Xenopus tropicalis: one gene and its partners. The protein of the gene in region 3 interacts with the protein of the main gene of each other region in a pairwise test. Links are inferred from orthologs where the notes say so. Each region holds a gene or a part of one and is shown on either strand. Other genes may lie near its edges. The genes, in order: comp, chic2, otx1, spry2, vwc2l and spry1.

Region 1 (5,435 bases), on a different chromosome or scaffold from region 3:
GAATTGTCAGCTCTTTACTTCATGGACTCAAATACCATTCCATTTAAAATAATGGAAGCTTCTAAATAACCCAGTATAGACTAATGCCAGGCCAAGTTTAGGCAGGGGACTTGCCAAAAAACGCCTTATGTCTCTGCAGTAAATAGCAGGTCAAGCATCCACCTGTTATGGTGCACATGTGGTAAAAATATGTAAAGACCTGATTATAGACATTCTTTTGCAGTTGTTATAGGGAATATATATTTCAAATATGCTTTCTGCTTATGTCATGCCTTTGGAAAGCCATTACATGATGTTTTAGTGGAAACTGAGTGCAGTTTTTGAATGATTGAAGGTGACTTGTGATAGGGTATTCAAAAACAATGTGGTTAATGTTTTCCATGAATGGAGTTTTAATGGAAACCATTAGTCTTTGACTTTTATTTATCATTTAAGTTTTAACCAGGAGCCCACATTGGCAATAATGTGTGGTGATGGTGTAAATTATTTTCAAAAGGACAGTCATAGTCATAACATAAACCCTAAGCATTAAAGGTGGTTATATAAAAATCCACCCTCTAATATTTACTTTATATTTACACATTTCCACTAAACTGCCACATCTGACATAAGCAGATCTCATGCCAAGCCAAATGAAATGTCAGTGTAGGCTTTCTGAAAATACTGTCTACTATGAGGGGCTTTTTTCCACTTGAATGTAGAACAGTGCCCATCAGTGTCGCCTTTAACACTGGTGCCCACAAACAGTTGGGGAGCGCATATTTAGTCTTGTATGTATACACATAATTCAGTAATTGCTGGGATCCAAAGCAAATGTTTTGATCTCATGGCCTTCAAAGATGATGAAATACTGGTGCTACAAAGCAATCCTGTACATAGAAATATTAACCCAGCAGTTCATTAAAGCACAAGGAAACTGCAGTTCACTCTAGGGTGCTAAACTTCTTCTCCAGTGAATACAATCTTTAGCCCTGGACCCCAGGTCAATGCTTTTCTTTACTTTAAAATGTACTGACCTGAGGTATATGCCTAAAGGTGGCCATACACATACCAATTTTGATCTTTCCTGCACCCATTGATTTTGTTTAGTTATAATATTGGTGCCATCTCATTGCATTGTACCTGATTCTGAGCTTTCAGAAAGAGCCAGTGCTACACATTAGAACTGCTTTCAGGTAACCTATTGTTTCTTTTACCCCTATGTAACTGGAGGAGTCCCAAGCCGGACTTGAATTTTTTACTATTTAGTGCTATTCTGATATCTACCACTTTTACTAATACAGGTGTTAGGTAGCTGCAATCTTGCTAACTTCCCATTGTTCTACTAAAAGGAAGGGGTGATATCACTCCAACATGCAGCGCAATAGTAAAGAGTGATTGAATTATTTCAGAGCACAAGTCACATGACTGTTGCACCCTGAGAAATGAAGAATATGGCTAGCCCTGTGTGAAAACCCTGTTTGTGCTTTTAAAAAGCAGATTTCAATGCAGGATTCTGCTGGAGAAGCTCTATTGAATAATGCATTTTGAAAAAAAAAAAACTGATTTTCCCATGACAGTATTCCTTTAATGTGCATTGTCCAGTAGTATGACAGGGAGTTTTGCAGCAAGAAATTAAATGTTTAAAGCAGCACACTAATAAATCAAATATATCTCATAAAACTATAAAGTATATAAAGTCTACCTGACAATTATTTATGAGACATGCCATTTGGCTCCATGTTTATAGCAAAACATGTTCTTCTTTAACATGTATTGTCCTTGACCTGTGCCTGCCTTATCTGATGCAGGCAGTAGAATTGCTGCAGTTCATTTATAAAGCATAAATACAGTTTGTAGCGCTGTACAGTACATTGATTAAGAGATAATGCAAACAAAAACCCAAACTGAAACTTAAGGATGGAAAGCCCTCTCTGCGAGAACTCGTATTATGAACATTTAACTGAAGGCTGAATACACCTATTGTGTATACCCATTACAAAGAAATTGTTTGAATTCTAATTCTGCATTCACAAACATCACAAGGCCACATTTTCTAGAAATATGTAATTGTGTGTTTTTTGTCTGAGGAAAAGCCTGAACTGTGTTTTTCATAATTGTATTTGGTAGAATAAAGGGGGCAAAAAGTTCACTCAGGACAGAAAGACATATATACATTTCTAAAGACTCACTTTTGATACAAAATGCTATTATTCCAAATATTTTCCTGTTTTTGATGATTTTGTATTACTTTATGGGGTTGAGGTTGAGGGCAACCTGTTACATAGCAGATGAAGTTAAAAAACGAGACAGATGTCCACCAGCCTTTACCTGCCTAACTGACAGCTGATTTGGAAGAAGGTGAAAACAGCCCTCCCTGAAACCATCTCCAGTATGTCTAGTGGAGGAAAAGTTTCTCCATGATTTAAAAGGGAAAATCAGACCAGCCCCTGTATCAACTTTGTATAAGAACAAATACCTGTAATTGTGTGGTCTTAAATTTGCTTAAAGAGCATTCAGACTTTCAAAGCTACCTAATGTATTTGCCAGTACAGCCACTTCATTGAATAAAAATTCACAGGGTAAAAACATTTCTTTGGACCTTAAAATGTACTGTTCTTTTCTTTTAATGAAGGGATTTCCTGGTGTCCTCTGGAAATATCTACTTGTGAATATTAATATTGTACTGTTCCCTTATATATTTATACATCTTGGATGTATCCCCTGCTAAGCATGATTTAAAGTTGGTGGTGAAGCTAATAATGGCATCTATGTCTACATTTTAAAGGTGTCATAAATGTGGACGTGAAAAGAGTTTAGAAATATTATTCAGTCTTGCAAAATTAGGCTTTTATCCTTACTTAACATAAGTAAATATATTAAAGAAAATGTGGTTTAACACTTAATTATACATATTTAAGCATCATATGCTTTATAGACACTTTAATTAAAGCAACAAATCTAAACATTTGCATTACTACTTCTCTGTACACTCATTAAGTCATATTGTGTAATCTTTTTATGTGCAATTTATTATTAGCTAAATGCATTGTATGCCACATACCTCTTCCAGATAACTGCTGGCATGATCCAAAGAAAATACAGAAAGATGAGAGGAGCGCTACTGAGAGCATGGTGTGATGTTCTCTTCGCTCTGTGACTGAAACTCCTGCCCAAAGTCTCCTTGCTTCTGTTTATGAAGTTACTTTCATTCCACTGCTGAAATTTCTTGGATGGAAGTCAAGTTTTGGCTACAACACATAAAACACTAACCCAACCTTGATTTTCTTTCCCCTTCATATTACTTTTTCCAAAGTGTTTGAGATAATCTCCAGGGGTTCTAACAACTTATCTCTGTATAATTGTAGAAACTGTACAAATAACATGCTAATAAAAGATTGTTCTCATATTAAACTTATTCAGTGCAAACATCGATTGCTTTGGTCCATAACTTGCCTTTGGCCTTCAAAATAGGTTTGCATGTCAGATGTACATCAAAAGATGAGCTGGGTAGAGTAGAGCCCTTAAAGTCATGTGACTTTATAACCCTGGACTAATGGAATTGCTGATTTTTTGTTCACAAATGATATATCTTTTTTACTTTACTCAAAAACAGAACTATATAAATTATGATTTAAGTTTGTTTTGGCTTTGAGCTAAATCTTTTTTGGATTTGGATTTTGTCTTAACCCAAAATTGTGGATTCTCTGCATCCCTAAATTTTGTTTTCATTCTAAACATTAGCAGTTGATATCACTTGATGTAATAGATAATAACATTCTCAGCTTTGAAAATGTAATGATTTTTGACGTTTTGGAGTTTGAAATGTCTGTAGAATGTGGCATGGGCACTTTTTATTTAGAACAGGCGATGGAACTGGCGGTGCCTGCATATGATGTAGTGCATTCAGAAAATATGCCCTCTTCCAAGATGAAATGCACCCAATATAACTTTTTATATTTTGTTTAAAAAAGCAGTTGTGTAAAACAAACTTTGTTTTGATAAAACACAACAGAAATTTCAATGGATAGTTTGTGGTCATCTATCTAACTCAGGGGTGGGCAAACTTTTTGGCTCACGGGCCACATTTACTCACCCCCGGACCGGGCCAGGGCGGGCATGGCCAGGCCAGCGTTACGCCCCCTTCGTCTCTTTAATTCCGGCCCGCCAATGACACCAAGTCTCGCGTGATGAGACTTGGCGTCGTCGGTGGGTCGGATTAAAAAGGCCAAGGGGCCGGATGTGGCCCGCGGGCCGTAGTTTGCCCACCCCTGATCTAACTGGAGTGAAATGGTAGAAAAAGATCCATCTATGCATAGGGAATTCTTGAAAGTAACCTTTTTTTCTTGTGCTTCTGAATCACATACTCATACAGCATATTTGGAACTCATATATCATCCAAGCCGGCCAGGCACCCTAGGCAACTCAGCCTGCCGCCTTGCCCTCCCTGTCACCGTACACACACAGTGATGACGCACGGGGTGGCCGACGATAGAGTTAAAGTGACCTGTGGTGGTGGTGAGACAGTGGCCTGGACTAAAGGGGATGTTCACCGAGTCCAACTTGTATTCTGTCCAAAACAGGAAGTTAATACTGAACTGGTTACTGCACATGCTCTCCTCCTTCATTTGCATCTCATTGATCAGATTGGCTGAACCTTACAAGCCAATAGTATTAAAATATGTAAATAAGCAGGAGAGGGAAGGCATGGGTAGAACCAGTTTAGTGTCAAGTTCTTGTTGTGGGCAGAATGCAAGTTGGAGTCTGTGATCCCTTCCAGACAGAGAGGAGAGCAAAGGAGAAAGAGTTTTAGCAGTGCGGGTCCTGGTCTGTAGCTACAAAACTGCCTATTTTAAATAATAAATATGATCTATATGTTTTTTTTCTGACAGGGCTCTTTAAATTCATGCTAAAGGTGAACATCCCCTTTAAGCAGACAGAAGAGGTAAAGGCTTAGCACCCCCTATTGTTGCAGTGTGTTTCTATTCTGCTTACCCCTAGATATAGCTGTATATAACATACTTGGAACTAGAGCTGGGCGGTATGACCAAAAATTTATATCACGGTATTTTTCAAAATTATATCGGTGTCACGGTATTTGACGGTATTTTTTTTTTCCATGCATGATTAGGTGTTAACCCCATTTCCTAATAAATTAGAGAATAATTACTGCAGTATTGAAAATCAGAGTCAGGCAAGCGAAGGATTGGCAACAGAAAGTCGTAAGGTAAATCAGGCAGACGTAGTTTCCCAGGCAAGGCCACAGACAACATAGCACAGGAGGAGGCGTTTGATAGCTTTAAATACCCCCCACGCATGCGCAGAACCGGCGCGTCGTGGACGTGCACGCTTTGACATGTAAGTGGGCTTTGACGCACGCGCACCTGGACGCGCGAGACCGGACCGCACGGGTGAGTACCCTGACACCCCGGTATTGCGGTATCTGAAAAATGAAT
Region 2 (4,887 bases), on a different chromosome or scaffold from region 3:
ATTCCCCCCCTTCCAGGATCGAGTGCATATGCAATCGTTTAGCTCACATACGGAGCACTGGAGAAAGGACATACTGAAGATTTATGCGTGTCCCGTCCCCTGTGCTCCATGTGAGCAAAATATAGGTGGCATGCAACCCCTAAAAGTTTGTGGACTCTTCACAAATCCGGGCCTGATCAAACCTAGTCAAACCCTGAATAAAAGGATAAACAAACACAGTCTCTAACAGCAATTACACAAATAACATGAATATCCTTGATATCTTAAAATCAATGCATATTGAGATAATGTTTCTAAGAATTATATTTTATTGAACTAAGCAAAAAAGTGTTTTTTGGGTGGAGGGCCTCTAACTGTATCAAATATCCAGATACACACTGCTTGCCAAATGTGGCTCTGAAAAACATGTAGTGCTTTTTCGATCCATAGCTGCAAATATAGAATATCAAGATTCTTGCTAATGCGTATAGCCAACCAGCTAGATGCCTAAGACTGCAATGCATCCTTCTGCTTGTGTAACTTGGGAGTGAAACAAATATGGACTCATGAAAGAAGATTTGAACCTAGTGTAGAAAGGGGTTCCACAACCCAAAAAATGTGTTACATAATGAACAAATGTGTAATTCCAAGCAGCTTTCTACTACACATTGCTTGAAAATTTTTCAGTGGTTTATAACTGTAATTTAAGTTAAAAGAAGGTTTGTTTATCCCTTTCTCTTCTCTAGGTCACATTCAACAATATAAAAAGAATTCAGTTATCCTCCAGGCCTATTAATCAAGCTTGCAACACAGGAGTTACTATGGGGGTCTAAGCCTGTTTTTGTATAGGGCTTTTATTAATGGTTTGGAGAAGTATAGATTTAAACTAGTTACTCACTTTATCCATTAAAAGACTATTCTTTTTTGTCTGTTGAATAGATACCCCCAATGGCCAGTGGACAGAAATCTCATTTAAAATTCATGGTTATACATATTTCATCTGAAGTGATTATCATTATCACATGCAAAGCAAATGCTTTCCTAACTCAAAGGCAAAAATAGTTCCCGGCTTTCCTTATGTGAAACTGTACGTCAAGTAGGCAAAGGGAAACTTAAAATTAACTTTTAGCACAGACCAATTCAATGCCCTTAGCAGTAGTGCTACTCAACAGTATGGAATTTTCTAAGAAATTATATGAAAAAAACCATAATAAAAAGACAAATATTAAGCTTTATACTGAATGCTAAGCTAGGGCCACTGACCTCGGAAAACAGCATTTAAAATTCCAGATTAAAGGGGCAATGAGCTGAAGGGCAAATAATTCAAAACATAAGAAATTACAAAAAAGAAGCCAAATACGAAGTTGCTTATCCCTCATGGTGATATGGTGGGATGTTTGATTTATTACACCCGCTGCCATGAAACCAATATGTTGATTAGGCACCTGGAAATGTAGAATCCATGATGCCCACTTATTAGTATCAGACTTCCTGCAACAAATTCTACATTTCTGGGTGGCTCTTTGGTTGCACTTAAAATGTTAAAGGGGAAGTATAACAAAAAGTCTTTATAGGTGAAGAAAAAAAAATGGTATTTACTGGGAGGTCAAACTGTTAAGACAAATGTGTGTGTATCTTACTTTTACTTTACAAAAAAAAATGCTAAAAATCTAATTATACAGCACAATATGGGCTTCTGAGTTTCTAATAGTTCCCATTTACTCTTGATTATAAGATAATAAAAGTTAAGTTTAACATAAATTTCTGGTTTAACATAACAGCAAGGTGGCTGACAGTTCTTATAAGCAGTATTCTCATACGTGAACTTCCTTGAATCTGTAATTATGTTTTAAACCATCTACCTTAGAGATTACCAGCCACATGGGAAAGCTTTGTAAAGAGTTAAGGCCTCCCTTAAGGGCCCTTACACATGGGCATTTTGCCCTGTGTTCCCCTGCATTCCACCACATATTGTTGCACAAGTGTTTAATAGCCTGGGGGCAGACAATAAATCATCTGGAAATGCTTCCTTATTTATTTAAATGGCAATTGCTTAGACCCACATGTAAAAGGAACAGCCATTTATACATAAGAGATATGGAGTGTTTTGTCCACCATACATTTTACCTGCCCAAACATGCAGCATCCATTGTCCCCTAAGAGAACACGTTTTAAGTGTTACAGAAAGTGAATAACACATTAGTGGAAAGCTAATTAAGTAAGGCTGCCAGAACTCTATATACCTAGTGGAAATCTTCATATGAGCCATATTGCATATAAGTTAATTCTCTTGAAATTATAAATAAGCAAAATGTATACTTCTACAAAGACCCAAATGGTGTTAGCTCTAGTAAAATTCAAAATAAGATGTGCACAATGGTTCGTAACCTTTTTTCCCAACCTCATTACAGGAATCATCTCTGCAGAAATGTAACACCTTTTAACTAAAAGCTATTTAACCCATTTACTAATTGTAATTAGGGGTAATATGCACTGCCTCTCAGTGGCACCACAAGCTAGGAGTATGAGATTGTAATAACAAATATAAAGAAAAGGAAAGTACATCAGCTATAAGCAAATTTTGGGTATGAAAGAAAATACATTGAAGATAGGTATGAAGAGAAATATGCCCTCTTTAAAAGCATATTACAACAAAGCCTTGTGGAATAAGAGAATTATTAATAAGAACACAGTAGCACATTACATGATTAAGCTGTAAGACAAAATCAAGAAGCCAAGAATTGGTCAACTTACTCTTTTACTTAGACAAACAACTGGCCACATACTGCAGCCCAATGTACAGCAACAGCAAAGGCATCCACAAAGTAACCAGCGGACATTAATTGGAAGATTCTTCTTAAGACAACTGTTGACTCTGTTAATACTAGATTTAAATTCTTCAGGTGCTACCTGGAAAGGGGGGAAAATGTTACTAAGTATGAGAACAGTATTAAAGAAAGCAAATTGTTTGTCTTTAAACTTTGTTTTTGACACATACCTTGCCAGTTAAGGAAGAAGGGAATTCTGCTTCAAACTTGTTGCTAAGACCAAAACTAAAGAAAAAAGAAAATCATTAGAGATCATACTGCTGTACTTCAACTAATACATTAAAATGTAAACATTTTAATTGTGGCCAAAATGTAAATACTGAAATCTGATTTCATGATTAAGATCATTACTTCGTCATCAGTGTTTAACTGGTTAACCATCATTTTTGTTATATGTTAAGGGGTAGGGTCATTACAGTTTTCGACCAATATTTTATACCATTTCATTTTTGCAAACCAAAGTGAACAGGGTGGTTATTTTCTGGATATTCAGGCTACCTCAACTTGGCATAAGGGCTCTGGCACGCAGGGAGATTAGTCGCCCGCAACAAATTTCCCCGAAATGCCATCCCACCGGCAGACAACATATTGATTAGATCCATGTGACACATAGCAGATAGAAGACTTTTTAAAAAAAGGGGAGTTGGTAAGCTTAACTACTCTGACAACTTTTCCCAAACTGTGGTGCTGCCTTCCTTTGGTGGTCAAAGTGTGCTTAGTGGGGCCAGCCTGAAAGCCAGTTAGCAACAGATTTGGGTATGCCTGGAAGTACAGCTTAGCGGTCAGTTATATTAATAGGAGGGCCTGGCCAAATACGCCCAACAACCTCTGCACTACAGGAATATGGTATGTCTAGAAACTATATTCTGATCAATAAAGTACAGGTATGGGATCAGTTATCCAGAAACCCGTTATCCAGAAAGTTCCTTATTATAGAAAGGCCATTTCCCATAGACTCCATTATAAGCAAATAATTCTAATTTTTAAAAATGATTTCTTTTTTCTCTTTAATAATAAAACAGTACCTTGTACTTGATCCCAACTAAGATATAATTAATCCTTATTGGAGGGAAAACAATCCTATTGGGTTTATTTAAAGCTTAAATTATTTTTAGTAGACTTAAGATATGGAGATCCAAGGTATGAAAAGACCCCTTATCCGGAAACCCCAGGTCCTGAGTATTCTGGATAACAGGTCCCATACCTGTACTTGCACTGCAGCAAAAATAGAAATGTATTACAAGGATGTACACTAATGTTTGGATGAGAGTCTTTTTTTGTCATCTAAGATATGTTTGATACATTAAGTCTAACAGCACGTCTGCCATTTGGTTGCCACCTGTATGTACTCTTGGGAAGAACAAGTTGAAAGAATGCGAGAAATAATTTGAAATACCTCCTCATTATAGACAATTGAGATAATGGCGCCTATGAGATGATCTTCCCAAGAAAGTATGCAGCATTAAAATGCCATCAGTGCTTTTAGCATAAAAATAATCTATGCACAAGTTTTCGTTAAAGTAAAAAAAAAAAAAAAAATTTATGGCTAGAAATAATATATATATATATATATATATATATATATATAATGAACTTACTGGACCAACCCAAAGGTTTAGCAGCCCTATAACAGTTATATTGTATGCCTTCAAGGTTATCCACAACTATTGAGTGCTATTCTGATATCTACCACTTTAAGCAATACAGGTGTCAGGAAGCTGCTATCTTGCTCCCTTCCCATTGTTCTGCTGATCGGCTGCTGGGAGGGGGTTATATCACTCCAACTTGCAGCTCAGCAGTAAAGTGTGACTGAAGTTTATCAGAGCACAGGTCACATGGCTGTGGCATTCTGGGAAATGAAGAACACCGCTAGCCCTATATGAAAATATCAAAAAAATCTGTGCTTTTAAAAAACAGTTTTCAATGCAGGATTCTGCTGGAGAGGCTCAATTAACTATTGCGTTTTGAAAAAAAACCAAAATTCTATATATATTATATATCTGTTCCATTGACGGCACTCACCACTCCAAAGCCAGACACCGGGTGCTCACCAAAAAATTATCCACATGAGGTCAGTTGA
Region 3 (5,602 bases):
ATTCCGAGCGCCAGCGGGATCTCTGCACTGAGAAGATGCGCAAAGGCGCAATGGCTTCCAACCCACATCATAAATAGCGCAGTGGGAATAAACATTTTTCTGCTGCATAAGGAGACTGTACAAATACACAACTCATTGCAGGCACATGCCCTTTTGCTGTGTCCTTGTCCTGCATTAATCTAGCCCTTATGTATCCAGCTAAGCAGCCGCCACCAATCCTGCTACAATTCGCACTGCTTCACACACACTAAACTTTTGTGTTTCTCCCTTCTGCTCCCCCCTCGTTTTTAAACTTCCCTAATCCGAGGTTTATGGGTTGAGGCATTAAGAAAATTCGCCTGCAATTTGGGATTAGACAAAATACTCTTATTACAAAAAGGTTCTTTTGCCACTTGATACCCGCTCACTTGTATAGAGCTAGTGGTAAGATCCCAGGCATAAACACGCCGTCCTGATATCTGCCTTGTCTGCGGATATAGATACAGATACTTATACAGAGATATTTATATATATTAGGTTTTTATTATATATAGGTATATATGTGCGCGTTTAATATTTGATTTTAGAATTGCGGTGTCAAATAAATATAATGTACACATCTCATTTACTTTGGAACTGGCAAACTCTAATGAATATCTAATAAATTGAATAATTTCGGATTGATGAGGAGTCATTGGCGGCGGTGCCTTTAATGTAAGTGAGTAGGAATCAAAGAATAGCGATATAAAAGGGGTATGACTTTGGGGAACTTGAGAAAGACTGTATTATCCGCTCCCCAGTCCCCACTGCACCTTTGAAGGGTCCCCCCTGACCCTGTCCCCACACAAAACAATGTCATATTCCTTGTGTGCCGGTGACTCCCTTTGAACATCAACTCGCATTCAGCTTCTGCTCAATCAGCCCGAGATGTGGGGTTTTTAGATATTTGGGGACACAACAAAAGGCTTCCTTTAACCCTTCCTGTGCCAGTCACTGGATTTAAAGTTTCCCCTAGTTTTTTTTAGTATTTATTTATATTATGAGGAGCATTTGGAGCTCTTGTTTTCTCTGTGCACAATAAAGGTAAATAAATAAAGGTTTAGCCTGGGCCCCAAACTCCAGCAGCACGACGTCGCACTCATCAAATGACCCACAAGAATAATTCATATTTCATTTGTAGCTGGCAAACGGACTTTGTACTAAATTAATCTTCCTGGTGCACTTGTTGCTAATTATTTGAACTGCGACTAAATGGCGAAGCTACCGTTTTACCTTAAAAGAATAATAAATAATAGTTTAAGTAACAGAAAAAGGTGCCTGCGATTTTGTATCGATTCAGTCGCTGGGGATTTGTAAAAACAAAACGAAAGCAACACATTGTCTAACGATGGATAAAAGATTTATTTGCAAATAAGATCACTTTTTATTATAGTTTAGAATCTCAATTTGTAGCGGATATATTTTGTGAGATAACAGATAATTAGATAAGTGTTATCTGAGGAAACACGGTAGCATTTACTATATCGCACGACCTAATTCTGTGTTTGGATGGGAATTGCAATATTTTATGTAGAAATCTGCCCAATTACCAGGCGCAGGAATGATCGAATCATATTACTTACAACAAGAATCATTTGCCTCCAATAACCTTGTTTTCCAGCAGATAAGGAATAGCAAGAATACAGCAAGTAGGAAATTCAGATTCGTCTCATAAATCAATTCTAGCATGAAATATATTATTTTCAAACTTTAAAATATCGCCATAAAAACGTTCCCTTTCTACCCCGACACCTTCTTGCTATGGGCATAGGGGCAAAAGAGCTGGAAAAGTTATCAGCATCACATGATTTCTGTTATTAATATTAGTATCATTATAAATTGGATAGGAAGAGCAGCAGAGAGTTTGCGCCTGGGATTTGTTTGGTTAATTCTTATCTATGTACTAATAACAAACACTCTCCGCTTTACTCTGTGTCACTGCTCTTCCCTCCGCTCAGAGCCAGGAGCCTGGGCTTGTTCTCTGCAAGGCAAAGGGGCGTGAGTTAGAAAACTCTTCGTCTGCCTTGTTATTGGCTACGAAGCGTGTCGGTCTTTCAATGCTCAGCGCCGGATTGGCCGGGGAGTTCGCTTACGTAGCCGCCCATCGCTCACTTACAAGGGGTAGGGCCAGAGAAGGGTGATCAATCTTCATCAGTTCTCATTTCCAATCAGCTAAAGCGCCCGGCGCGACAGTGCGACTCTTCCGACAGGTAAATCACTTGATTTATCCCCATTTCCCTGGGCTGGGCTCCCGTTGCACTCAAATCCTCACCCTTTACTCTGCCCTTTTGGCACCAGAACTTCACTTAGTTTGGCATCTGGGTGGGAGCGCAACCTGCGCCGCCAGTGAGCCTTTCCCTACAGCTCCCAGCAGCCCCTTTCCCTACAGCTCCCAGCAGCCCCTTTCCCTACAGCTCCCAGCAGCCCCTTTCCCTACAGCTCCCAGCAGCCCCTCTCCCTACAGCTCCCAGCAGCCCCTCTCCCTACAGCTCCCAGCAGCCCCTTTCCCTACAGCTCCCAGCAGCCCCTCTCCCTACAGCTCCCAGCAGCCCCTTTCCCTGCTTAGAGTTTTACTGCAATGGAGAATTTGACTGATTCTGTAAGTGCCTCTGAGAAGGATTTTATCTAATCAATCCCAGGTTGTGACTGGTTGTGGGCCAGGGAGTGTATAAAGGCAGGCGGCCTGGCAGCTCCCACTCTTGCCTTTGCCTGAGCTGAGCGTTGGGCTGAGGCCTGACTCTCCCCCTAAATTGTATCAGATCGTGGGATGTGCAGTTTGCTGTGCGGATCGTTCTCTCTTCCCCCTGCAAAGTTTGTTTGTTTTCCGTCTCCTCCTCCTTCCCGGGATTATACAACTGCACCTCAGCGCTGCCAGAACCCATCCCCATGGGCCGAACCCAACCCTGCTGGCACCAGCCTGACAGGCACTGCCGAACTCTGCCCTCCACTTGCTTGTCCTGTGGCTCCCCCCCGGCCAGTCCTGTGGCTCCCCCCCGGCCAGTCCTGTGGCTCCCCCCCGGCCAGTCCTGTGGCTCCCCCCCGGCCAGTCCTGTGGCTCCCCCCCGGCCAGTCCTGTGGCTCCCCCCCGGCCAGTCCTGTGGCTCCCCCCCGGCCAACCTCACAGGGATGTACAGAGGCAGCGGCCAGGTGACTGGGCGCAAAGTGGCGCACTCTATCCTACTTGGGTTCCACTCAATTCTCTAAACTTATTTCTGGTCCCATTCCTGTGTGTTATTAGCGGGTTGCGACTTGTCTCCCTGTTTGTGTCACTTATGGCTTTAATTCAAATAGAAGTTTGTGTGTCAGTATATAAACGTGTGTGTATTACACTCCTCTTGCCCCGGCACACATTAAGTTGTACAATATACCTGGGAAAGCGTTATTGTAGTGACCCCCCAGCCGCCTCCTAGTTACCCCCATTCTGGGGCTGCCCGGCCGCACAGTGCAAGTAAGTTATGTTAATGAGGTATTTGTACAGGGATCTCCATTAATTAGCGCTAACTGGGGGGGGGGATTGTAGATTGGCCAGCTTGTGCAGAAAGAAACTTCATTAGCCTATCAATAGATCCCATCTGCAAAAAAATAAAGTTTGCTTACAAAACAAATTAGGCCGCCTTAAATCTCATAAAATTGCGCATATGTATAATGAGTCGCTGCAATCAGCACTGGGAATTGATCAGTTTGGCAGCTCACACCTTTGTGTGCTTCTTTTTTCCTGCGATTCTGCATCTGACTGAATAGAACTGCGCACAGTGAGCACAAGTAGGCCTTGCTGTTAGTCAGTCTGATAATTATAATGAATAATATCCCATCCGATCGGTATTATTTCTTTTGTCTGAAAACTCCTTTTACAGCAGCACCTATGGTTTAGTCTGTTGTCCCGCCGCTTTCTGCGATTTTATATAAAGGCGATTGTTAGAGGTGAATGTCCATCAAGGTATATGCCGAGAATAAGCCGAAGAGCCAAACTACAGAGATCCATTGGGTGCACGGGTTTCTGTTTGTGTGCCTGTTCTCTCTGCAGCTCTGCGCTATGTGCGATTTATTAACTTTTAACTAATAAAGCGCAATATTCACTTTAATCTGAGGTACAGTGAGAAATAAAAGGAGTTGTAAATTGTGCAGCTTTCGGGGCGCTGAGCGATTTTTACTGAATTATTTATACTTACTGTATTCATCGTGTAAATGTATTAACCAAAAGGAAATCGTCTGATTTATCTCCTGTTTTAGTTACTGCAGAACCCGGCAGAGTCTCCTGGTGCGGGGAAGGAAAGAGAGAACCCGATTGTGTCTCCCGTCGGGGGATTGGGAAGGAGTTGCCTTTGTGGATACTTTGGGGGGTTTCTGTCCAGCCTTGAGCATGATGTCATACCTCAAACAGCCCCCCTATGGCATGAATGGCTTGGGGCTAACGGGGCCTGCTATGGACTTATTGCATCCGTCTGTGGGATACCCAGGTAAGCCCCCAAAAATCGACAGACAACAATATGTAACTGGCTAAAAGTCGCATATTTTGTTACCGACTGTATATTAGTTACAACTGTATTAATTGTTAGACTGTATATTTGTTACAGGCTTTATCTGGCATATTGTAACAAATGTGGAAATATGGCTAGTAAGAGTTGCAGATATTTAGTAGCAGCTGTTTGTATTGGCACAGTAAATAATGAGGATCGGGGTACTTGGGGAGGCAGGTACGGGTCTGGTTGTGGGCAAGAAGTGTATAGAAGGGCGATGTGTTTATTGAAGAGACACAACCCTGTACCCGGGATTTCCCCACAGTGCAATGCTAATTCCATAGAGCCACCAGGGCCCAGTGCTAATTAAAGGCCGCGGAAGAGTCACTTAATTTTGGCTAAAGCTTTGGCTTCCAGGCAATTGTAAGAGGATCAGAAGTCAGTGGCCACACAAGGAAAGGCCTGGGGGTGCTCCTCGGGAAACTGCACTTTCTGATGTGATTGGGGAGGTCTCAGTCGCATAACAAACACCCAAACCTTTCCTTTATCGCACAATCCTGTTTAAACGTTTTCTGCCCATATGTGCTGGGAATCCTGTGCCAGTGAGTGGTTGCGGGCTGCAGTTGCACTACAGACTTCCAGCTGTATGGCAGGAATATTCCCTGTAGGTTCGCCCAGAAGTGCAGCGCAAATTCTATTCGATTTTATAAAATATAATATTTTATACATATATGTATAAACATTTATAACAATTAGTGGTGCAAGGAAACCTCGTATTTATTTGTTCGGCACCCAGAGAATGGGGGGGGACTAACTTTCACACATGCGTTTTGCTCTGGCTCCGCAAAAATACAATTACAAATTTTAAATACACAATTTCTATAACTGTGTGAATATAATCCATTAGGGAATGGGAACATTGAAGCTACATTCTCAGTCACATAGTGGGGAATTGACCCCCTCCAATTCTCTTGCTCCTTATATCAGATCCAATTAGGAATTTATTTTTGACAGAGTATTTCTAAATTTAAACGGGGTACAAACCAAAAATATTTTGCCTTATGGGAAAGAAACAAATACCCACGAAACTTTCCGAAATTAATTCGTTAAAAAGTCGCATTGGTTTC
Region 4 (3,544 bases), on a different chromosome or scaffold from region 3:
GGGGTAGCTCTTCACTTAAACAGGCGAATTCTAAAGATCTCTGAAATTTAAAAGAGCTCTTCACCCAGCTAGGGTAGCATCCTGTGCGGGAGTCAATGAATAATGTGCATTATTCAGGCTATCCTCACCTAGTTCGGCAGATCCTTTTGCAAATCTATCAAAGCCGTCAAGACTAAAAAGGCAAAGTGCTGTAAAATGCAGGTACTATTTGTTATGCTAATAGTAAAGTGTCCTGCCCATTGTAATTCTTAGTGTAGTGACCTGAAAGAAATGTATGAAGGGAGTGTAGTCAAAATGCACGTGTTCCTTGCAGCTGGTTTCCTGTTATTTTAATTGCTGTGTATGCTGTCCTTTTTAAGAAGAACGTGATTTCCACGCACTTGCTGTAACATGCAGTGTTCTTAAGATATGAGAGTTGCCTTCAGTACTTGTCTGTCATGCTTTTAGTAAAATGTAGCTGGAACTTTGCACGCTCACGAAGTAGACTATTACTTATACAACTGCTTTATATTCATGGGGTTGTACTACAGCTACTTAGTAATTCACTATGATGCAACTTGCCCTGGAAGAGTAAAATGCAGGTGATAGGTTCAGAACATCAACTTTTATCTAATGCGTCTATATTTTTTTTGTGTATATATTAAGTATATTTATTAATAAAGCTTAGAAGTATTATGTAAATTCGATTTTGAAACATGATATGTAACTTATTTGTGTATTAAATGCAGCATTTTAACCTTCTGTTTACTTATATATTTTTTTTTTTTCCTCTTTCAGCAGGATTTCAGATGTGTTCTCAGCCCACAGGTGTGAAAACTCTTCAGAGTACTGATGGAGACGAGAGTACAAAATGGCAACGTATCCCAGCCTTTGCTCCCGGCTCGGCGTGACAGTGAAAGATTACATAGTGATGCTGACCCACGTGAAATTCTGACACAACAAGTTCATGTTTTGTCTTTGGAACAAATAAGAGCCATAAGAAACACTAATGAATACACAGAAGGGCCTACAGTGGCTCCACGCCCTGTGATTAAATCTGCTCCACGACAGACTACGCCACACAAAAATGAAAGAATACATGTGGTAAATGAGCAGCGACCTTTTGTCAGGAGTCCACTTCCACCAATGCATTCCTTGTCTCAGGCACCTTTGTCACGATCAGTCGGTACAGTCACTTCATCTTGCCGGAGCAATACGAGGACAAGTAGCAGTTCTACAGAGCAAAGGCTTCTTGTGCCACCATTTACATCTTCAGGGTTGGTTGCAGACCGAATAATAAGAGTACAACCCAAACCTGAGCTGAAATCAGACATTTTAAAGCCCTCTAGTAAAGAGGAATTGGGCTTACATTCATTAAGGTGTGAGGACTGTGGGAAATGTAAGTGCCAAGAATGCACTTATCCAAGGACTCTCCCATCTTGTTGGATTTGTGACAAGCAGTGCCTTTGCTCAGCCCAGGAAGTTGTTGACTATGGAACCTGTGCTTGCTGTGTGAAGTGCCTATTCTATCACTGTTCAAATGATGACGAGGATAATTGTGCAGACAACCCATGTTCTTGCAGTCAGTCCCACTGCTGCACTCGATGGTCTGCCATTGGTGTCATGGCCTTGTTCTTGCCTTGTTTGTGGTGTTACCTTCCAGCCAAGGGTTGCCTTAAATTGTGCCAGGGCTGTTACGACCGCACAAATAGACCCGGATGTCGCTGCAAAAGATCAAACACAGTTTGCCTTAAAGTTCCACACCTTCAGCCTAGGAACTTAGAAAAACCAACATAGCACAGGTGAACGGACGTTTATAAAGAACATAACTTCCTTTTAACACTCAAATGCAACCATCTTGTTACATTTAGGAAAAAAAGCTTTGGGATAGGATTGCCTGTTTGCAGTGAAATACTTATGCATCAACGGATTTAGGCTTAATAGAGAACCTCTAATAAAGCTTACAGTAGGATTTGGTGTTCTGTGACGACTATTGTGTACGCTATTGCAGCACAGACACTCCTATGTAACATTGTATTGTTTGTGAATAGTACTTGGAACATTTGTAAAATTTGCAAATGGCTTTTTTTTGTCAGAGATATTATGTTATATTTTTGTACATAAACCATATTTACAACTGTGAAAAAAGTGCCATTTTTTGATGGCATGGTCACAAAATTTACTAATGTACATTCAAAAGAATGTGAATCAATCAGTATGGTTAGATTGTCCTTCGCTTTCTGGAACTTTTAATATTACCAGACTTCTATTCTTTGGATCTTATGTATATTGTACAGTTACACTGTAAGATTCAGCCTTTATTTTCTAATGTTTCAATATTGTTTAGTGTAAAGTATATTTATTTGAAGTTTTATTATTTTATAAAGAGAAATATTTATTTTATGAAGCATCTTACAAATGTCTCCCCTTTTTATGATGTCAGTTTCTGCAAATTGGGGGTGACTGAGACATATGTTCACTATAAAATAGAAATATATTAACGTCTGAAAACAAAATGTGGCCAGTACTCTTTCTTCTTTAGACTGAAACAGTCGGGTGACTTTCTGTAAGACCTAAATTAAAAGGTATAATATTGGACCAAGCATTGCATTACACACAGGTTTTATTGACATTGGGTCGCTGATAAAAACATGGCCCCCTGTTAGGCCAGATGCATTGGGAGTATCAAAAACAACATAAATATGAAAGCAGATGACCACATCTGAGAATAAGTGCACTCTGTTAGCATTTTGGTCAGTGTAAGCTGGCTTTAAAAATTAGCTTGCTAGCAGACAGTCATACAAGTAGTGGCAAAAAAATCACCTGTGTGACATTGTGCTTAGGCCTTATGCATTTACCAGCTACTACAAATTGTTCAGGTAGAATTGACAGCAACACTCAACATACTCATTCAGGCAGTACCCTTGGCATAGAATTGGACATGAACACAATGCCCACAAAAAGCTGTTGTGGATCCAAATATTCCAGAGAAAATGGGTTTGCATAAAACATGAGACCTTAGTTTCATAATGCAGTATATTTCATAACCAGTGATATTTCCCATGAATTATAGCTGGAAAACTAGATTTTTCATTGGTGTATTTGCGTTTACCCTCCCACTCATTCAGTGTAGTTGTGCTGAGGCTAATAGGTTTTTAACATCACATTCAATAAAAAATATTTCAGCACTCTAAGCTGAAGGAGTTGGCGTAGTGTGATTTGATTAGCGTTAGGTTGCAATTTCTTGGTATATTTCAATGAGAAGTTTTTGTCTTTGCACTTATGTGGAGAAGAGGAAAGGAAAGCAATATTTTGGACAAAAATCTGCCATTTACCAAGCCATGCAAAGGCGTGACATTTTGCTAATGGTAAGTAACCGCTTAGGAATGTTACCAAAGTGTGAGCACGTTCAGAGCACCAGCACAAAGGGCAACATCACACAACAGGCGAAAGTAGAGTCCCAAAGTGCCCGCAGTGGCTATCACTTGGTGTGTTTATTCAAATGCTTGCATGGCATTTGTCTATTGAAAACATGGCAGTCTGCAATTCCAGAAGGAAGTCTCCA
Region 5 (5,483 bases), on a different chromosome or scaffold from region 3:
TTTACTAAAATTTAGTAAAGATGAAAAGATTTACAGTCACATCTGTGTGATTTGTATGCTTTTCTAGTTTTTAATGCTTCTAATTCTGTCATCAATGTACCATATCAATGGGAAATATAGTTTAACAATTAAGGGGTTTGTGTGAAGAAAGAAAAAAGTGTCCTGTGAATTGTGTAGCCTACAAACTTGTCAATGAACAAAGTAAGGGGATTCCAACAACGTGAGATGCCTGAATAAAGGGGTAGGTGTTATGCTAACATTTTTAAATGTGACCAATAATTATTAAGAGATATTTTACAACACTCCAGGTGGTGATTGCTATAACTCAGCATATCTGGATGAACAGCTGGGTGGAACCCTAAGCTATAGTTTATAATAACTGCTAATTAAATGGCCCTATCTCTAATGTGCATGTAATAGCTGAAGGGCATGTTGCATAATCAATGAGAAGTGCAAATACAGCAGAACACAGCAATGGGGCAACATGATTTTTCCACTGATATCCAAGGCATGTATTCAGATATTAAATAGCAATGATGAGTGTGCCACAAAATTGTTTTTTTTTTTTTTACAAACAAATAAGTGGGGCCTATTTACTAAGCTTGCACTTAATGAGATTCATCCTCATGGTGTCACATGGTGCAAGACTAAGTGACTTAATAAGACCTAACTATCCGACCCAGAGTATTACAGAGTTTAGAATGATTCTAGATTTTTATTTTTTTTTTAAGTAGAAAATAGAAGTAGAAAAGTTTCACATTGGCTCAAGTGTAACTGTTTAGGGTGTTGTATCACTGAATGCAGAGAGAGTCCCCTCTGGTAAATCCACTGTTCCACATAAGTATTGCAGTGGCTCAATGCAAAACCCATAAGGACTGTGTTTAAAAGAGTAAAAGGCAGAGTCAACTTAAAATAGTGCAACAAAGCCCACATCCTGCTTGTATATAAATATACAGCTTGTATGATGAATGACACAATTACAAACAGCTTTATTACAAGTTTCCAAAGGGTTAATGGTTGCTGCAACAAACTGATCCCCCACCCCATGCTCCCTGCCTCACAAACACACATTCTGGCATGCTGCATAGAACTGTAAATACTGGGTGTGAATGGCTCAGTCTGGTTGCAAATGAAAATCAACCTTTTAATAGATGGACAGGTCAGGAAAAATAGGAACAGTTTTAAATCTTCCCTGAGCCAGGCTTATAGATAAGGTGTAAAACTGAGAGCAACAGCCGCATGGCTGGCTAAAATGAATGCTACACTGACACTGCAGTTTTCTTGTTGCCTTCACAGAGAGGAGACTGTAGATATTACAGCGGCATGTTTGGCATTAAGCAATTTTGTTAAGTGATTTGTAAGGTGCCTCTGCATTTTACAGGGTATTGAAATGAAAGCTGTGTGCCTGGGAGCCCTGGAAATTCCTTATCATTTGAATCAGCTTCTATAATCCTCCCTAAGAATGCTACAGGTTACCTATACTTTATTATTCATAGAAACCGGCACGGGAAGCATACAACCAGCATGCATTATAGCTGCTGCCAAAGTAACGTATATATTACAACCTTCTTTAGAGTGAATATGTACAAGATCAGATGTATGGGGGCTTGTAGTGAAATAGCTGGAGAAGTAATGAGGGCCCTGTTCACAAGAGCTTACAATCTGGGGTATGGAACTGGGATGTTGGAGAAATAGATAACCTGTGTGTTGGGTCTTGGTAAGTTAAAGACTGATTTTAATTCTGTGAATATGTATATAACCAGCTGTAAATGGATACAAAAGCATTTTGATGATGTGGAGGTACAGATATAATTACTCCAGCAGGCAGGTTGTTACATTGAGAGGTGCAATGACTGATTGCAAACATTAGCACTTCCCTTACCTCAAAGGGGTTAATCCTGAAGATTAGCAGGACAACCTTGTGCCAGTAGAACACAGTCCATATTTATCCCATCCTAGGTGTCAGAAGGGCCCATTTTAGGACGAATTAAAAGAGCGTCCTTTCAGTTTCCCATCCATGGCACAGGAGCTTTGGTAAGGATACCGTATTGCCACCAGGTTTCCTAACTCTGCACAGATTGGTTTACTGATATGCAGCAATAACCCCCAAACACACTGAGATTAATCCACAGCTCATTGTGACCTTCTGGTAGTTGCACTGGAGTCCCAACTGCAATATATCCAGTGTGCTTGGGTTCCCCTCTGTCAGTGGCAGCTGAGGAGGCGGTGTGTGTGTATGTGCATGTGTATATTATGGTTTCAGCAGCACAAACAGCAACAGCATGAAGCTCAGCCTATGCCCAGTCTGGAACACCCTCCGTACCATGGCAATATGTTGCTTCAGTGGGAGGCTGCAGTCACAAAAGTAGCCAGAGGAAAGAAAGGAAGGCAAATTCATAACTTTTTACATCTCAGGACACGGCGGGCGATCACCCTGCAGTGTGGAAAGACAATAAATAGAACCAACATTTTGCTTCAGAACCATAGTCAGTTCAGCACCACATGGAGATGATAATAAGAAGGGGCAAATAACTCCCCAGAATGGTTAGTTCCGAACTAGCTTCACCAGCAAGAGGAGATCTGATGCTCCTTGGACACATCAATGCTGTTCATCTACACAGCGCTTGCCTGTAGCACCACGGACATAGTGCTCTCTATTCCGCACCACGGACAGCAGCAATGCGCCTTATGCCACAGGCTGTTCAGCACCACAGACAGCGCCTCGGAGCTCCGCAAAGAACTGATCTCAGTCGCACTGAGCGCTGCCCATCGAGACGCGGCACCAACTGCGTTCAGCACCACGGACAGCGGCTCCGAGCTGTTCCCAGGGAGAGTCGCACAGCACAATGGCACACAGCGCCCCTGCAACAGCGACTCACAACTACAGCAGCAGCGCAACGTTCCCTCCACTGCACGGCAGGACGCAGCACTGCTCCAGCCCCCAGCAAAAGAGAGGCGTTTAGGGGAGACTGCTGATGGAATGAAGAACAGGATCTCCTAACGTGGGCTGGGGCAGACTCTTCCCCCTTCCCCTCAGTTAACTATTTGTGTAACGTTGGCTATAATAGTGACGGTGCTTAACTAGTATCCACTCAACTACTGCTGGCATCATCCACTAGTAGATAAAGGTCGCTGGGGATGCTGGGATTTTGAATTGAACAGCAGCTTGAGTGTCCCAAGTTAGACCTTATTTACAACACTCACTTGTTTATAGCGTCAGTTTAAACAGGCCATAGTAAATAGGTCCGGAACTTATACACACTGATGTATAGAACCGACATTTTAGAGCCCTGCTCTAAATTCAGGTAGTACATAAAATTATTTGTGCAGTTTTTTTCAATGATCTATTAATAGTTCATGAGCCATTGACCCCTATTGCCATTTTAGTCACCAATGTAAATGTATTATTTTAGTGCTTTGCTCTGCAAGTGGGTATACCGACAGAAACATTTGCCCTTGAATATGAAAAGCCCTTAGAGCCAGAGCCTGCATTTTGGCTACACGAAAGGCCGTGGAGAATTCATTACCCAGCGTTTATTATTATGCTATTCCAAGGTCAGAGTATTTACTGAAGCCGCCGGCACTTTACTGATATGGTTTAAATACTGTTTAAGGGCTTAGTATACCTCTGGGGACTAAGGAGAAGATGCTGAGAATTCCTCTTTGATACCATAGGAACGCCCAGTTTCCAGACTTAGTTCATCCATAATCATCCTCCAATCTGTGATATCATTGCTAAAAGCATCACTCGCGTTATGATAGCGTTAAGGTGCGGCAATTGCAATACAACGTGTAGTAAAGCATGGAAAGGTGTCAGAGAATGCTGCACTTAATTGCTGTAATGGATACATATATTAAAATAAAGCACAGGCCACTCCAACTGCAAAATATTTATTCAGGCTCAAGAAATATTCGTTCCATGAAATTAATTTTGTTGCTTTCTGGGCGCAAACTACTTCATACGGGTCTTCTTCAGGACCAGATTCGGACTGTACCGTCGGAGCCCCCAGAGATCAAGTAATCCCCATTGTGGCTGAATATTACACACTGAACGTCATCCTCATGTCCGTCCAAGCTCTCCAGCTGCCCGGATGGAAGAGCCAACAGCTTGACTGAGCCGTCATTGCTAGCGAGGGAAACCGACTGACCTGCGGAGAGAAGGAGAGCGGAGAGGTGAGCTTCGTGCTGAGGCTGCTGCTGCTGCTGGGAATAATGATTGCTCCGCTGATGATGTGCACTGAATTAATGCTTTTATTGGAAATAACTTCAATGCAATCGTGGTAAATCAATTTAAATAAGATGCCTTGTCCAAGCCAGCAAATAAACTCATAAATCCTAGCCAAGGACAGCTTTTACCTGTTTGGTGCAATTAACCCTTGGAAGCAAAAATACTTTAGGGCTCAACTACTACGTTTAACCCATTCTTTAACCCATTCTAAATAATTAGCAATTGAGGTAGTTATAAATGATCAAATTTGGTTTTAAAGCAATGGTTTGATATATGTTAACCCCTTCAGATTGACTTCATGATAGTAAATGAGTTTGTGCTTCATTATTAAGGGTTAAATGTTACCAGTAAAGACAAAACATATCCAGATTATTTAGTACAAGATACATATTTTTCATAAGTCCTATCTTTTTTTTTTAAGTTATAGACTGGACTAATGGGGGCTACTAGTTATGTCTGTGCCACATAAACACCTATATGATATACAGTATATGTATGTATGGGATCTGTTATCCATACAGCTCTGAATAATGGAAGTCCATCTCCCAGACTCAATTTTAAGGATATAATTCTAATTTCTAAAGATGATTTCCATTGTTCTCTGTAATAATTAAACAAACATAATAGCTTGCACTTGATTGTAAATAAACAGCAAGAATTCATAATGGTGTAAAAACAATCATATTGGGTTTATTTAAACCCTACATTATTTTTAGAAAACTAATTACAGATTACAGAAAGCCATATTCAATAAACCTCAGATCCCAAGGACTCTGAATAGAGAAAGAATAGGTTCCAAGGACTCTGAATAGAGAGGGAATAGAGAGGGAATAGAGAGAGTAAAAATGGCAGCATTCACTGATTCACTGTATCTGTTCCAGCAGTTCATTTCTAAGGTATTTTAATGCTGGTTGTACTTAAAGTGCCCCAAGTGGCCAGAAAACATAATGGGGCTCCTGCAAGGTTTTGGCAGTTTCTGAATTCTCAGGGGAAGCAGCCAAACAGGAAGAGAGCATGTAAGAGCAGCCCATATAGCAAACGTCCAGGTGATGGAAAAGACAAAAATGGCCCTAAACTTGATGGATCCAATAGTTGTGCAGCATTTTGATCATCTGCCTTCCAGTGCAGCATTATAAACACCAACATTTCATGGTTGTGCACAAAGAACCTGCTAAGAATATGTTAGTATTCCTGATTAATAAAATAAAAAAACTCAACATTTTCCGATGGAATAACCCAACAATGCCCTACTGAC
Region 6 (5,416 bases), on a different chromosome or scaffold from region 3:
GCACACAAACACACACACAAAACACACACGCTCTCTTTTCCACATTGTGTAAGGAGAAGTGAAAAGCTCTCCTCTAAAGTCAGGAGGGTTTGCCCTGGCCCCGGGGAACGTCGTCCAGTTTGCAATATACTGTGTTTGAGTTCTTACATCGGCAGCCTGGGCGATTAACTCTGTCGTAACATTCTCTGCACAGTTTTAGACATCCCTTAGCAGGAGGGTAACAGAGCAAGCAGGGTAAGAAGAAGGACATTACCCCCATGCAGAGGTACCTAGACCAGCAATGTGACTGGGTACAAGAGCAAGGATTATCCGCATACGAGTCTCCCTCATCATCATTGGAACAGTGGTAGAAAGTTGCTTTGACCAGACACATGCAAGTGCTGTATTCCACCATGCTCTCTGCAGAGCACAGACATTGCCTGTTACAAGCCAGGCACGAAGGCAGGGTCCTTGGAGCAGTGCAGTCTCCACATTTACACTTCCCACACTGTTCACAGATAAACCGGTGTTGTGAATAGTCCATTTTTATTGAGCTCTTTAGGTCCTCAGCAGGCAAAGCACTTGCCTTAGGCTGCATTCGCACTATCCTTTCAGTCCTGTGACCAGAGCCTGATCTGGGTGGTGGGCATTGCCCCAAGAGTTCTTGCTCAGAGGAAGCACTATTTGTGCTACCAGAACTGGCGGCACTACCTGTGCTAGTAGACCTGCTGAGCCCAGGAGCCCTTCCATTAGGTGGGTGTCCCGTGTGAGCCCAGTGAGTGGGCCTGTGCTCATTGTTATTATTCACATTGATTGGTATGATTTCATGAGTCCGTTCCTGCTTAATGTGCCTTGGTACAGTTTTAGGTCCAGGCTTTTTTACCATGGATGGGCCTTCTGTGTACTCATTCCTGCTCCGAAGAGCTTTGATCTGATCCAAGGACAAGATAGCCGCTGGCTGAACTTCTCGTTCATATTCCAACCGTTGCCGGCTGTCCAAAGATGGCTGCTGTATCACAACTAATGAACCACCAATGCCATGTTGACTTTGTAGCTCCATCTGTAGTGATCTTGATTTCTGGCATTCAACGTGAACTTGGCATGCATCTGAAAACCTGCCGATCAAAACACACAACAAAAGATAAATAATTTAGAACGGAGTTTTGGAGATAATATAAGATACAAATTCAAATCATCACAGCAAAAAATGTCAGATGACAGTTACAAGATAAACTACAAGCAAGGCAGATCACTGCATTTCCCCCCCATATCTAATATACTCCCATTACAATTTAATAAATCATGTTTTGCCATGTATGAAAGTCATTCTGCTTCTGCATGATGCAACTGGTTCAAGAAAAACACAAAGCCTCCAGATACCGTAGCACTTCAAGAAGTCACAGAATGGATTTCTCGTTTAGCTACTATACATCTGAACAAAGTGATTACTTGGTAATGATAACCTATCCTATGACTGGAAATGATATATTTCCAAAAGAGAAGACTTTTACCCCAGTAATAACTTTAAAAGAAATTCACCATACTAAAAGGGCTTCAGTCTTTCAGCGTATAATTCTGATAAAGGGGCTCTATCTTAATTTATTCTTGTTTAAAGCAAATTTAACTCCCAGAGTTTTGCCATGGAGAAATAAATAAATGTGATGCCTCCCTGTCAAATAATATTTACCTAAGGGCAGTTCTTGGTGACCAAAACAAAGGAAGAAAGGAGAGAAATAAGAGACAAACTAACTAACTAATCAGTCTGTGCTGCAAGTTCTGACCTCCTACTTATCTGTTCCAGTGATTCCCTAGGCACAAGTTTTTTAAGGCAAGCTGAGAAAATGATCTTTAAAGCTGAATATATATTCCCAAGCCCAGATGAGTGGCAGATGCTAAAAAGAGGGGTGATACCAGCTGCACCCAACCTCCAGAGCCAGGCAGTGCAAAGGTGCATGCCCACACTGCCCTGGCACACTAACACATCCTACAGCCCATTGGTGTCACACCTCCAGCTGCACAAGGCAAGCAAGCTAAAACGCTCTCACTGAAGAAAAGAAAGAAAATCGCACGATCTGAGGCTTAGAAAATGCCTATAAAATAACTGTACCGTGTGTGCCAAATGGATAACTAATCGTGCGACAATCGGAAGAGACGGAATGGGCAAATTATGGAGATGGATTGGGGTGGGGAGGGCTACAGAGAGAGAATCCGAATGATCAGAGAGCGAGAGACGGGAAAGGAAGGAAAAAGTTATGAATGAAAAACAAACCGTGACTGTGAGAAGGAGGAGGAGGAGAGGCGCTGATTGCCGCAGGGGGGCGGACTTTCCGCACATTCCAACCGCAGCACCCTTTCCCATCGGCTCCAGCTCGGAGCCCCAGAACAAGGCACCCCTTACGGGTTTCAGCACCCCATACCAGGTGTGCCAGCGTTCCCACATAGAGATTTCTCTGCGAATCTGTTTTATCGCCTCTTCACTGCCCCTACACTCACTCTTCTGGCAGTAAAGTGGCATCGGATCGATTTAACCAATCAAAGAATTAACATAAATAGCCCCTACCCTACACTAGTCCGACTACCTGCACCTACCACTAGGTGTCCCCATCCTGCGTTTGAAAGAAGTAGGGGCACCTAGCTCTAGGTCTGCGTAAACAGTTTATTTACACGTTTCTGTGCCAGGGACACCCAACTCGAATTGAAGCAACTTCAACCCTGCAGGCCCCTACTCTGACCCATGGCCTGCTGATATGTTACACTGCAGCAATATGTAGGCGTAAAGCAGCTGGGGGGTATCAAAACTGCATCCCTCCAGCTGTTGTAGAACAACAACTGCAAGTGTGGGTTGTAGGTGCCATTCTGAGAGCTGCAGTTCAGCACAGCCGCAGGTTGGTTGTGCATCCTTCTGAAAAGATATTACACGATTGGATATTTGTATCCAAGGGGCACATAAGATAGTGGGTCATGGGGCAAATACACTCTATCCCTCACTTGGGCAAGCCTGCTGGCATATTGGGAGTTTCAGTAAAAGATCCTTGCCTTATGGCCTTGCACCAGGAGCAGAGTATTATCCAGATATACAGACACTTACCTCTGTGCAAGCATGCACCAAGCAATAACACGTCCAACTCCAGGCTGCGGCAAATCCGATCGGAACTGGGGGGCTTAAGCATGGGACATGTCTCCAGTAAATCCCCAGGGCTGGCACTACTGTATCTGATTGTAGCAGCTTTCCCTCCGGGGGCCACAGTAATTAGGGCCAGGGTAGTCCTTGGAAACAAATAAATCCACAAACGCCAAGGTGGGCAGGAAAGGCAATTGCACCTCTGTCAGGGGTAGGAGCGATCCAGCAGGCAGGCACCGTAGGCTCCGTGTTGCTGCATGCGATGGGAGGAGGCACAAGGACTACAACACTTTTTCCTTATAATAACTCCTTTATTTCAGCCACAAGTAAACTCCAGCGATTCTTTTCTTATCGCAAAACGCTAACGTTATCAAGAGTCCTTTAAACAGAAAGCCGCGGCCCCACGCATATATTCCTCGGGTCGGTGTGCGAGCGCCGCTTAAATCCTCAGCACGGATAGGAAATCCACATGAGAAGCGATGGGCAGAGAATAAATGGTGATGAATGAGGGTGTCACCCTCGCAGCGATCACTCACAGCTCCACAGGGAACAACCTTCCACGCCTTGCGCTCTCCTGCCTCTGTATGAATGGATTCCTGGAACGCTGGGTTTGTTCCACAGCGGCCTTCTCATTGGCTCTCCGGAATAGTGTAGGGGAAAAAACACCAAACCTTCAGCTGCCGTGGCGGCGCTGATTGGATTAGAAGTGGGAGGGGCGGGGCAGTGGCGGCTGCGGTAGCTCAGAGCGAAATCGCTGCAAGGTGGATTTTAGCGGAGATTTCACGTGCGTCAGGTCGCTGTCACTGTTGTTCACCCGGGCGAAAAATGTGCCCACTTATGGGGTGATGGGTAGGCTTTTAGATTGGAACTCGCCCCAAACAGCCCTGTAATGGCCCTGTCAGCAGTACTTTGCGTGACTTCGGTCATTTACTAACAGCGCAGGGTGGCACTTACAAATCAAGGGACCCAAGGTCTGCAGGAAGGCTGGGGCAATAACTTGAAGGGCAGTCAGTAATAGTACTCGAAGGTTCGTCATCCCTGAATTAATTTTTAATTAATTGTTTTTTTTTTCCCAGAGGCCCCTTGAGATTTTGGGGATCCAGTGCACATAGCATTTTCAAACTCAATAGGCTGTAGTTTGTAATTTAATTTCTATGAATTCTTTATTAGCTCCTGGAGTTTTATTCTCAAGAAACTGTAGCGCAATACCATTATAGATCGGCTTAGTGGCAGCAACGCATTTTGCGCCTCTGTGATAAGGCTGAATAAATGCAAAATTGCAGGAAAGTAGTAAGGGCTGTGTATAAGGTATATAAGGGCCGTGTATAAGGTATATAAGGGCCGTGCATAAGGTATATAAGGGCCGTGTATAAGGTATATAAGGGCCGTGCATAAGGTATATAAGGGCCGTGTATAAGGTATATAAGGGACGTGTATAAGGTATATAAGGGCCGTGTATAAGGTATATAAGGGCCGTGCATAAGGTATATAAGGGCTTTGTATAAGGTATATAAGGGACGTGTATAAGGTATATAAGGGCCGTGTATAAGGTATATAAGGGCTGTGTATAAGGTACATAAGGGCTGTGTATAGGGGCGCAGAGAGTTAATGAGAGGGGCGCGCATAGCTTGCGTGTGTACCCGGGGAGTGTTGGATGCGCAGCTCCGCGCTGATGTGCCTGCACTTGTCTCCTGTGTGATCTTGGCAGCTTCACGTTTATTTCCTTAGGGAAGGAAGAACTGTGACCTGTCCCCCCCAGGGGGGAGCTTGAGTTTCCTGCAAATACACATTCCTTCCTGGGATTTCATAGTAGTAGGTCCGTCCTACCATTGCCACTACCATCCCTCCGCCCATTCCCATTGGCATGACTGCTTTGATGTATGGCCAGGACTGAAAGGGTCAACGGATACAGTCTAACTACATTGTATTTCTAGAATTGTGTGTGTGTGTGTGTGTATGTATGTATGTATATAAATGTATAGCAGTGTTGTTAATGCAATACGGCTGCTTGTTGCAATTTATATAAGGCTAGTTAGTAGCAGTATCTTTCCCAGCAACTGTATTTGGTCATGGAACTAGTTGGTGATTTATAATATCCTTATAGCTTACAATAGGGGGTACATACTTTGTGTTGTATGTATGTATGTATGTATGCGTGTGTGTGTGTATATAGATATATAAAGTGAAATAAACACTTATATATATATATATATATATATGTATCCACACACATTTGTTTGCAGAGAAGCAGCTGTATCCTTTGCATTGTTGTTTGAGTTCCTAGAGACAGACAGACAAGCTTCCCATCCCCCCTTT

What was found.
Region 1: the proteins of otx1 (region 3) and comp interact in binary tests that used the Homo sapiens proteins (3 or more experiments, as listed by UniProt). The two-hybrid records come from large-scale screens. The link is inferred for Xenopus tropicalis from reciprocal best matches to the Homo sapiens genes OTX1 and COMP.
Region 2: the proteins of otx1 (region 3) and chic2 interact in binary tests that used the Homo sapiens proteins (3 or more experiments, as listed by UniProt). The two-hybrid records come from large-scale screens. The link is inferred for Xenopus tropicalis from reciprocal best matches to the Homo sapiens genes OTX1 and CHIC2.
Region 4: the proteins of otx1 (region 3) and spry2 interact in binary tests that used the Homo sapiens proteins (3 or more experiments, as listed by UniProt). The two-hybrid records come from large-scale screens. The link is inferred for Xenopus tropicalis from reciprocal best matches to the Homo sapiens genes OTX1 and SPRY2.
Region 5: the proteins of otx1 (region 3) and vwc2l interact in binary tests that used the Homo sapiens proteins (3 or more experiments, as listed by UniProt). The two-hybrid records come from large-scale screens. The link is inferred for Xenopus tropicalis from reciprocal best matches to the Homo sapiens genes OTX1 and VWC2L.
Region 6: the proteins of otx1 (region 3) and spry1 interact in binary tests that used the Homo sapiens proteins (3 or more experiments, as listed by UniProt). The two-hybrid records come from large-scale screens. The link is inferred for Xenopus tropicalis from reciprocal best matches to the Homo sapiens genes OTX1 and SPRY1.

The regions. Positions count from the first base shown.
Region 1 is NC_030677.2:107,117,904-107,123,338, forward strand, and holds the start of comp (cartilage oligomeric matrix protein), read right to left. Parts: upstream 3,168-5,435; 5' UTR 3,114-3,167; coding exon 3,044-3,113; intron 1-3,043. UniProt on the Homo sapiens protein: Plays a role in the structural integrity of cartilage via its interaction with other extracellular matrix proteins such as the collagens and fibronectin.
Region 2 is NC_030677.2:39,929,572-39,934,458, forward strand, and holds part of chic2 (cysteine-rich hydrophobic domain-containing protein 2), read right to left. Parts: intron 3,033-4,887; coding exon 2,978-3,032; intron 2,890-2,977; coding exon 2,734-2,889; intron 1-2,733.
Region 3 is NC_030681.2:32,915,924-32,921,525, reverse strand, and holds the start of otx1 (homeobox protein OTX1), read left to right. Parts: upstream 1-2,123; 5' UTR 2,124-2,228; intron 2,229-2,518; exon of another isoform or gene 2,519-2,617; intron 2,618-3,543; exon of another isoform or gene 3,544-3,780; intron 3,781-4,248; 5' UTR 4,249-4,378; coding exon 4,379-4,475; intron 4,476-5,602. UniProt on the Homo sapiens protein: Probably plays a role in the development of the brain and the sense organs. Can bind to the BCD target sequence (BTS): 5'-TCTAATCCC-3'.
Region 4 is NC_030678.2:125,075,331-125,078,874, forward strand, and holds the end of spry2 (protein sprouty homolog 2), read left to right. Parts: intron 1-777; 5' UTR 778-831; coding exon 832-1,776; 3' UTR 1,777-2,382; downstream 2,383-3,544.
Region 5 is NC_030685.2:58,211,877-58,217,359, reverse strand, and holds the start of vwc2l (von Willebrand factor C domain-containing protein 2-like), read right to left. Parts: upstream 3,813-5,483; 5' UTR 1,883-3,812; intron 1-1,882. Other genes in the region: spag16 (sperm-associated antigen 16 protein), read right to left, coding at 3,973-4,148.
Region 6 is NC_030677.2:65,662,772-65,668,187, forward strand, and holds the start of spry1 (protein sprouty homolog 1), read right to left. Parts: upstream 3,624-5,416; 5' UTR 3,082-3,623; coding exon of another isoform or gene 3,068-3,081; intron 3,048-3,067; exon of another isoform or gene 2,087-3,047; intron 1,095-2,086; coding exon of another isoform or gene 1,040-1,094; coding exon 80-1,039; 3' UTR 1-79. UniProt on the Homo sapiens protein: Inhibits fibroblast growth factor (FGF)-induced retinal lens fiber differentiation, probably by inhibiting FGF-mediated phosphorylation of ERK1/2. Inhibits TGFB-induced epithelial-to-mesenchymal transition in lens epithelial cells.